2 linked regions of the Mus musculus genome follow. The protein of the gene in region 1 purifies or fractionates together with the protein of each later gene. This does not show direct contact. Links are inferred from orthologs where the notes say so. Each region holds a gene or a part of one and is shown on either strand. Other genes may lie near its edges.

What was found. The genes of interacting proteins can lie anywhere in the genome.
Region 2: the proteins of Mark4 (region 1) and Pnma2 purify together in Homo sapiens (co-immunoprecipitation; 3 studies listed by BioGRID and IntAct, with this or other methods). This does not show direct contact. The link is inferred for Mus musculus from reciprocal best matches to the Homo sapiens genes MARK4 and PNMA2.

Annotation. Positions count from the first base shown.
Region 1 is NC_000073.6:19,445,221-19,449,327, forward strand, and holds part of Mark4 (MAP/microtubule affinity-regulating kinase 4), read right to left. Parts: intron 3,439-4,107; coding exon 3,385-3,438; intron 3,255-3,384; coding exon 3,206-3,254; intron 2,528-3,205; coding exon 2,462-2,527; intron 2,032-2,461; coding exon 1,961-2,031; intron 1-1,960. UniProt on the Homo sapiens protein: Serine/threonine-protein kinase. Phosphorylates the microtubule-associated protein MAPT/TAU. Also phosphorylates the microtubule-associated proteins MAP2 and MAP4.
Region 2 is NC_000080.6:66,909,601-66,914,194, forward strand, and holds the start of Pnma2 (paraneoplastic antigen Ma2 homolog), read left to right. Parts: upstream 1-1,607; 5' UTR 1,608-1,693; intron 1,694-4,594. Other genes in the region: Dpysl2 (dihydropyrimidinase-related protein 2), read right to left, coding at 842-1,183.

The DNA of each region.
Region 1 (4,107 bases):
CCAAAAAGCCACCACCCACAGCTGACCTAGCTGCCCAGTACTTCTCTGGGCACCAGTCGAGGACCTGGGGGCTCAGCCAGGTTCAGAGAGCGTTGAACACCCAGACATCATCTGATGGTCTCACAGGCAGCTCTCTCTCTCTCTGTCTCTGTCTCTCTGTCTCTCTCATACACACACATACACACAAACACACACATGGACACATGCATGCACATGCAGGTATGCATACACGCATGTCCTTGGTTGTAGTATCAAGACCTTGGGACTAGTCCATGTTTGGGAACTCCAAAGTGTCCCATGCAGGGAAACAGGTATGTGGCCCCAACTCACCGGGGCTACAATCCTTGTGCCTGAAGGTGCTTACTCTACACAAAGGGTGCCCTCACACCAGTAGTAAATACAGTGGTGCCCACTCACAGGCCACACATCCTGAAATGCTTCTCACACCCGTGTACCTTCTCATTTCACACCTATGGATCTTCTCACCCTGAATCTGTTCTTCATTCCTGCACATCCTTTCACCTCACACCTGGGCCTCACACCTGCATGTCCACTCACCTCACACCTGGGCCTCACACCTTCATGTCCACTCACCTCACACCTGAGCCTCACACCTGCACATCCTCTCACCTTACACCTGGGCCTCACACCTGCATGTTCACTCACCTCACACCTGTGCCTCACACCTTCATGTCCATTCACCTCACACCTGCACATTCTCTCACCTCACACTTGGGCCTCACACCTGCATGTCCACTCACCTCACTCCTGGGCCTCATACCTTCATGTCCACTCACCTCACACCTGAGCCTCACACCTGCACATCCTCTCACCTCACACCTGCATGTCCACTCACCTCACACCTGAGCCTCACACCTGCACATCCTCTCACCTTACACCTGGGCCTCACACCTGCATGTTCACTCACCTCACACCTGTGCCTCACACCTTCATGTCCATTCACCTCACACCTGCACATCCTCTCACCTCACACTTGGGCCTCACACCTGCATGTCCACTCACCTCACTCCTGGGCCTCATACCTTCATGTCCACTCACCTCACACCTGAGCCTCACACCTGCACATCCTCTCACCTCACACCTGCATGTCCACTCACCTTACACCTGGGCCTCACACCGGTGTGTCCTCTAACTTCCATATTCACTCTCACACACCAATGTCTACACCCTAGGTGAGAGTGGTGAATCCTCCACACCAAGCACCTGTAGGCCCTGCCACCCAGAAGCCCCACCCCCATCTTGCCACTCCAACGCATGCAGCTACCTCACACCTACACACACTCCTTCAAGGACCCACATACCACCCTCTGCATCTCTGAGTTTGTGTATGTGTGTTGACATCAGTGTGCTTCTCAATTGCTCTCCCACTTTATTTACTGGGGAAGGGTGTCTCTCTCACTGAACCAGGAGCTTAACAATCCAGGTAGTGTAGCTGCCCAGCCACAGTGAGCCCAGCTGCCTCCTGAGTGCTGGGATGGAGGCTGGCACTGCCACACCCACCCCACAGGGCTCAGGGAACTAAACTCTAGCCCTCTGGCTTGCTTAGCAGGGCTGCATCCAAGGAGCCATCTCCCCAGCCTTGCCTTGCCTTTCCTTTCCTTTCCTTTCCTCTCCTTCTCTCTCTGTCTCTGTCTCTCTCTCTCTCTCTCTCTGTCTCTCTCTCTCTCTCTTTCATGGCAGGGTCTTGTATAGCCCAGGCTAGCCTCAAACTCTATGTGGCTGAGGATGCCCCTGATCCCCTTGCCTGATCCACCCCAGCTTTGCCATGCAGACTCCAGCATTTTTCCCCACCCCCACCCCACCCAGGCCTCAGCATCCACTCACCTGTACACCCACTGCCATCACCTGAGCCCTGGCCCCCCAACAGCCTCCTCCCATCTGGGTCCCTGTGCATCCTCATCCCTGCATATGCTCATGAACATGGCACCCTGTCTCTCACCTGCCGGAACTTGGCTCGAGCCTCCTTCTCCTTCATGCGGCCGTGCGACACGAGGTAGTCAAACACTTCTCCTGCAGAGAGCAAGAGGGGTGAGAGCTGGAGCCAGAGGGTGCAATGGGGGAGGGATTGGGAAAGCAAGGTGTGGTGGGATGTGTGAGCAGGGCACAGGGTCTGGGGGATGTGTGAGCAGGGCACAGGGTCTGGGGGATGTGTGAGCAGGGCACGGGGATGGGAGGGTGAGAGCAGGATGTGGGTATCTTGGGGGTGGTCTGAGAGCAGGGTGTGGGGGTCTGGGGGGGATGTGATAGCAGGGGGAGGGAGTGGGGGAATGTGAGAGCAGGGTCTAGGGGTCTGGGGGTGAGAGCAGGGTCTGGGGGCCTGGGGGGGGGGAGAACAGGGTCTGGGGGTCTGGAGATGTGAGAGCAGGGTTATGGGGGTCTGGGGGGAATGTGAGAGCAGGCACAGGGGTTAGGGGGAGCAGAGCGTGGGGCAGAGTTTCACCTGCGCTAGCGTATTCCATCACCAGGTATAGCGTCTTCTCCGTCTCTATCACCTCAAAAAGCTTCACTGCGGGGAGGGTTCGAGGTGTTAGGTTAGCGTGGAAGAGCTGGCCATTCTCCACCCAGACTGCAGCCATCTGCCAATCCTCTCGTGCCTCCCGCCAGAGCCCCCATGGCTCCCTACGCCCACCCAGCCAGGTTTTCCCTGCTGCTCAGCCTCCCTTTCTCTACACAAGAGTTTCAGCTCAATAAAGCCTAGGACCTGTGCCCATGTTGCTGGCATTCACAGTCGGCAGTTACACAGTCAGTGCACGTCATCGCCACATCCAGGCACGCTACACTGTGCTCCGCTCAGTGACCACCTCTGCTAATGACCATGAGTGCCGTGGTCCACACGGACCTGAACAGGCTAATCTTACCTGGTCATTACAACCCTGATACTGATCCCAGCTCCAGAAAACAAAGCAGATGCCCAGGGAGCCTCAGCCAGGCTGGAATGGCTGCACCACAGTGGCCAGGTCTCTCTATGAAAGCCCCGCCCTCCCTTCCCAAGGGCTCCACCATGGCCAGCTCCCATCCGCCCATGGCCAGCTCCCGTCCGCCCATAGCCAACCCCCCCCCCCCCCCGTCCATCCATGGCCAGCCCCCGTCCGCCCATAGCCAACCCCCGTCCATCCATAGCCAGCTCCCATCCACCCATGGCCAGCCCCCGTCCATCCATGGCCAGCTCCCGTCCCCTCCTCACCGATGTTGGGGTGGTTGAGTCCCTTCATAATTCGGACTTCTCTGAACAGCTGGGCAAGGCCAGGAAGGAAGAGCAGACAGTTGTGAGTGGGGTGGGGCTCCCTCCCCTGCCAGGCCTGGTCGGGTCCCAGCTCTCACCCAGCACTGTGTTCCCACCCTGGTCCTTTCTCTGGGCCTCACCTTCTGCAAGCTACTGGGGTTCAGCTGGGTCTTATCAATGATCTTAATAGCGACCTGTGGGTAGAAGAAGGTGGAAAGGTCAAAATCCCCCAGCCCAGATCCCACAGCACGTTTGGGGCCAGCCTGGACGACATGAGACATGTGAGACATTATGTCAAAAAGAAGTTTTTTAAAAATATTGAATATTAACTGTTAATTGAGCTAAGTATAGCGGTCCAGGCCTAGAGTACCAACAACTGGGAGGCAAAGTGAGTCAGAGACTAGCCTGGTCTACACGGCAAGTCCTAGGCTAACGAGAGGCTGGAGAGATATTAAACACAGTGACTGCATCCTGTGGAGTTCAGTTGCCAGCACCCACCTGGTGGCTCCCAACCATCAGTAACTCCAGTTACAAGATACCCACCGTCGTCTTCTGGCCTCCCTGGCTCCTTTCACACAGGTTCACATGCCCACCAGCAGATGCACAGACACACAATTTAAATAAGTGAATCTTATCCCAGGTGTGGTGAAGCACTTGGGAAGCACAGGCAGGAGGATCTCACTGAGTTCTGGGCCAGCCTGGTCTACATGAGTTCCAGGCCAGACAAGATTGCACAGGAAGACCCTATCTCAAAAGGGGAAGAAAAAAACCTAAAAATTAAAAACAAAAATAACAAATCTTAAAAAAAAAAAAGCCACCTCTGGAATGGAGTTGTCCTCACATATGGGGACCAGCCTGTGCGC
Region 2 (4,594 bases), on another chromosome or scaffold:
CTCACCATTAACACAATCAGGGAGTCTTGCCTTCAAATGTGAGTCCTCCCTTCCCACCCTCATTTTTCCTTTCCTTTTTAGTTCTTTGAATATAATTCGCGTAGTCTCTCCCCATTCCCAAAGTGCTTCCCTTACAGCGCTGGGGAAGCGCTCTGAGAAGCCCTTGCCGAGACACTTAGCAGAACTTTGTTCTCTACATGGGCTATCTAGCTTTTCTCAGTGACATCACAACCTCCCGGACTCTTCACTGGCTGCTGAACACAGTCCAGGCAATGGTAAGAGGCTCCGGGCGCTGGCCGTGGTCCTGACCTCCTAGCTCAGAACCATGGTGCTGAGCGCACTAGAGGCGGGGACCTTGCCACACTGAGTAGCCATGTAAGCCCTTGTCCCTACAGACCCCAAGGGAATCCTCTAGTCTTCACTGCAGCCTTCCACTGCTCTCTTTGAGCTGCATCAAAAAAGGGTGGGGCTCTGAGCCGCAGCTGCAATCGGATGCCGCCCGGGAGGATTTAAGAACAGCACAGTGGTCCACCCCAATCGCCACTCGACGCCTCCAGCCCGGGGATCAGCTGGTCCCTGACGCGGGTTCCCCACCTCCCAGGGACAAGGAGGCTAGGGCAGCCTTTGTGGGAGCTCAAACGCCCACTGGCGAACCCGTGCCTCGCCGCACCCTGCGCGGTGAAGGGGTGGGCAGGGCGCGGTGCGCGTGCAGATGCGGGAGGCAGAGCTCTTGGTGCCGCGTGCTGGCTGGTGCTGGCTGCCACGCGGGGATGCTCGGTCCTCCGCGACAAGCCAGGGGGCAGCCCCGCGCTCCGATCCCACCCTCCACCCCCATACCAACCTGATCATAGATGTTCTGCAGGGCTTCCTTGCCCGAGGCCCGCCGGATCTCCACCTTCCGGCTCGATTCAACAGATGGCTCCCCACTGGCACGCCGGCTCTGCCGGTGCGGGTCGGGGCCCAAGTGGGCGACATCGCGCTGCTGAGCCACCACTTGCCCCGAGCCCCGGCCCACTGAAAGCGAGTCGAAGTCGATGGTCTTGTTCTCCGAGGACCCTTCCACAGGGCAGAACATGCCGCAGAATTTCTGCCGCGGCTTGGGACTGCCGGAGCCCAGGTTTTTAAAAAAGGCAGGGACCTCTTCGTCCTCTGCTGCCTTTCCAGATTGCTTTCTCTCGGCCATGGCTCAGGGGGCGCTGGGGAAGGTCCTGTCTGTTCGTCCGTCCGTCCGTGGTTTCCTAAGTCTCCCTAGCTGGGTGTGCACTAGCCTCTTGCTGCCGCCGCGGCTGCCTCTCCCTGCCTACCGCAAGGTGCACAGAAAGGATGGAGAGCTGGCGAACCGGCGACCCACCCCTCGCGGTCCCTCCTCCTGACCCCGCTTTCTCCCTCCCTGCCCACGCCCCCCGGCGCCGCCACGCCACCTCCGAGCAAAGTTGGATCTGAGCGGGCGGTCGCTGCGGCAGAGGATGCCAGTTCCCGGCAACGCGGGGCGGGGCGGAGTGGGGCGGGGCAGGAGGAACGCAGGATCAGGAGGGAGGGGACAAGGAGGGAGAGGACCCAGAAGGAGGAGACGGAGAAGGGAGGGTACGAGGGGGTGGGGGGCGCCCGGAGCCTGCGCCCCGGAAGTAAAGCGGACACTCCACCCGCTAATGGACGCGCGGCAGCCGCCCGACAGACCTCTCTCGGCGCCAGGGTGAGTGTCGGATAGCTATAGCCGGGCAAGGACCCGAAGGCTCAGACCCTAGTCCAGAGCCCCTCTCCCCGACCTGCCTCACTGCATTGCTAAGGTGGCCCTGGGGCTCCCCTGGCCTCGGGTGAGAGCTGAGGGTTGAGGGAGCCAAGGTTCAAGCCTGAAGGCTCTTGGAAACTGGGCAGGGGTGACCCTGGAAACAGCAAAGTCTACTCCGGGATAACCAAGTATCCGGCACCAATGCTTCAGTTTACCCACGACCTGGGCGCCAGGGCGCGCACTGCAAGGAGCAGAAGGAAAGGAGAATGTTCTCCCTGCTTGCAGCCCCTGTGGTTGGGAGGTGGGGCTCACAACATGGCGGGGGCGAAAAAGCAGAGGAGCATAGCAAATGCAAGCGGTGACCGGGGGAGAAAGCAGCAAGCCTGCGGTGCGGGGGGGGGGGGGGGGGGCATAGTAAAGAATGCAGACTGAGGATTGCGCTTCAGCATAGAAACTGGGGACCCGTAACATCATCTGAAAAGGCCATGCCCTGCACATCAGCCATTGCCTCAGAAAAGGCTCAGAAGAGTCCTGGATTTGATATCTCCAATCCCTCAAAACACACACACACACACACACACACACACACACACACACACACACACACCCAAAACGGAAAATGGTTGGGGACTAAGCAGACTGAAGCACACTCATCTTGCTTTCAAGTCGCCCCGCCTAGCTTCCCCGCCCCTGTTGCACGCTGCGCAGGAGGCCCGGGAGTTTGCCAGATGTTCCTTCTCTAGGGCCGCAGCGGTTTGCATGGAGGGTAGAGGTAGATTGCTGTTCAGGGGAGGGTTACATGCTGTGTGAGTTGTGGGCAGCCAAAGTGTGGGGATTTGGAGTGTGTGCGCGCGTGCACACGGTTCAGCCACGACCGCCAGGTTCGAGGCTTTTCCTTGCTTAGTCCCACCTCCTGGTCCTGGCTTGGTTGCATTTAAGCCCCTCCTGTTTTTCCAGAGTGGCTGAAAGCTGCAAAAGTGTTGCCCATCCTTTAGGGGTTCTGGAGCGAGATCTGAGCATGCTCACTAAGATGGATGGGTTTGGTCTAGGAGAGGCAGTTTACTGCAGCGTGTTCTCACAGGGCGTTGTGACCAAGAAATCAGTCCCATTGTCAGCCTTTGCTTAGGTAACGATTGCTTGCAGATATCAACGCCCCCAGTTGCCCGAGATAGCTTGATTGATGGAGTCATAATTTGTGCGCACACACACACAATCCTGTAGGAGCCGAAAGGAGGGCCTATGGACCTTAGCACCAGAAATGCTTGGAATTTTCTTATAAAGTGTCCATTGGAATTGTCAATGCCACACTAAAGCCCTGAGGTCTTTCATCCTCCCTGCCTTCCAAGTTAGGACACCAGTTTATGAGTCATTACGCCTAAAGTCATGTGTCTAGTTGTCCAGGCCTTTGCCCCAAGAGCCTGGTTCCTTCAACAGGTTATCCTATAGGCCTCTTTAGTGAGAAAAGTACAAAATCCTTGCATTCTTCCATACCCAAGCATTTCCCTGGTGGTTCTTTTGTACATCAAGGGTGTTTCATTTACAGTCTTAAAATCTTTTTTGGTTAACCTTCATTTATGTATATGGATGTTTTGCTTGAATGTTTGTACATGCACTGTGTACAGGCCTGGGGCCATTGGCGGCCAGACAAAAGTGCCAGATTCCCCTGGAATTGAAGTTACAGAGTAAGCCAACTTGTGGGTGCTAGTAACCAAACCTGTGCATTTCACCACTAAGCAATCCCTCCAGATGTGTGAGGCCTTAGTTAATTGAAGAGCAACCCTTGTAGGTATGGTTACCATTGGGTTAAAGGTCTCAAAGGCTAGCAGATTTCAGCATGACAATTTTTCTGTGAATCTGGACATTTGGTGTTTTTTGTTCATTTGTTTGTATTTGTCTTTTTTGTTTGTTCGTTCGTTTTCTGTTTGTTTCGGTTTTTCAAGAGAGGGTTTCTCCGTGTGACAGCTCTGGCTGTCCTAGAACATACTCTGTAGACCAGGCTGGCCTGGAACTCAGAGTTCTGCCTGCCTCTGCTTCCCAAGTGCTAGGATTACAGGCATGCGCCACCACTACCCAGCATGTCGCTTGTGTTTGTTTTTGCTCTTTCTGAGACAAGGTCCTGTTTGTAAGCCCAGGCTGACCTCAAACTCCCGATGTAGCCAAGGGAGTTAAACTCCTGGCTCACTTACCTTCACCACTTAAGTGCTGGGGTAATGGGTATGTGCCACGGCGCCTGGCTTATGCAGTGCTTGGGATCTAACTCAAGGCTTTGTACATAGTGACAGCACTCTGCCAACTAGGCTACAGTCCTAGCCCCTCCAGAGCTCTTCACATCTCATTCCTCGAAACAACTCCAAGCAGAGGAAGTTCACTCCCATATTTTACAAGGGAATCTCAGGCCTAGATTGGTCTGAAGTTCCGGGCTCCCATGCTGCCAAGCACAGGGTGAGACAGCATCTTGCTCTCCTGGTTCTGACACAGTGGAACAGCCTTCAACACCTTCCAGGAAGACCGGATCTGCTCCTGCTGCTGCCATAGTTAAGACCAGCATCTGTGGCATACAACCTCCTTCAGAGTGATGGGAGATGTTCAAACCAAGGAGGAAGTGGATATAGCACCCTAACACACCCTCTACAAGTCTCTGAGAGGCACAGTCAGGCACCAAATTACAACATTTCAGTTGACATAACACATGTGCCCTATAAGAATGCATGGTCTAGTGATGGCACTCTGACATTCAGCCAATTAGGAAGCGGCTTCTCTGGAGGCATCCTCATGACTAAGTGACCACACTGTCACTGGGAGCACTCCCTTTTACATTCTCCAGTCTCCCCAGCCCTGCAGAGCAAGCACGCTTGGTGCACACAT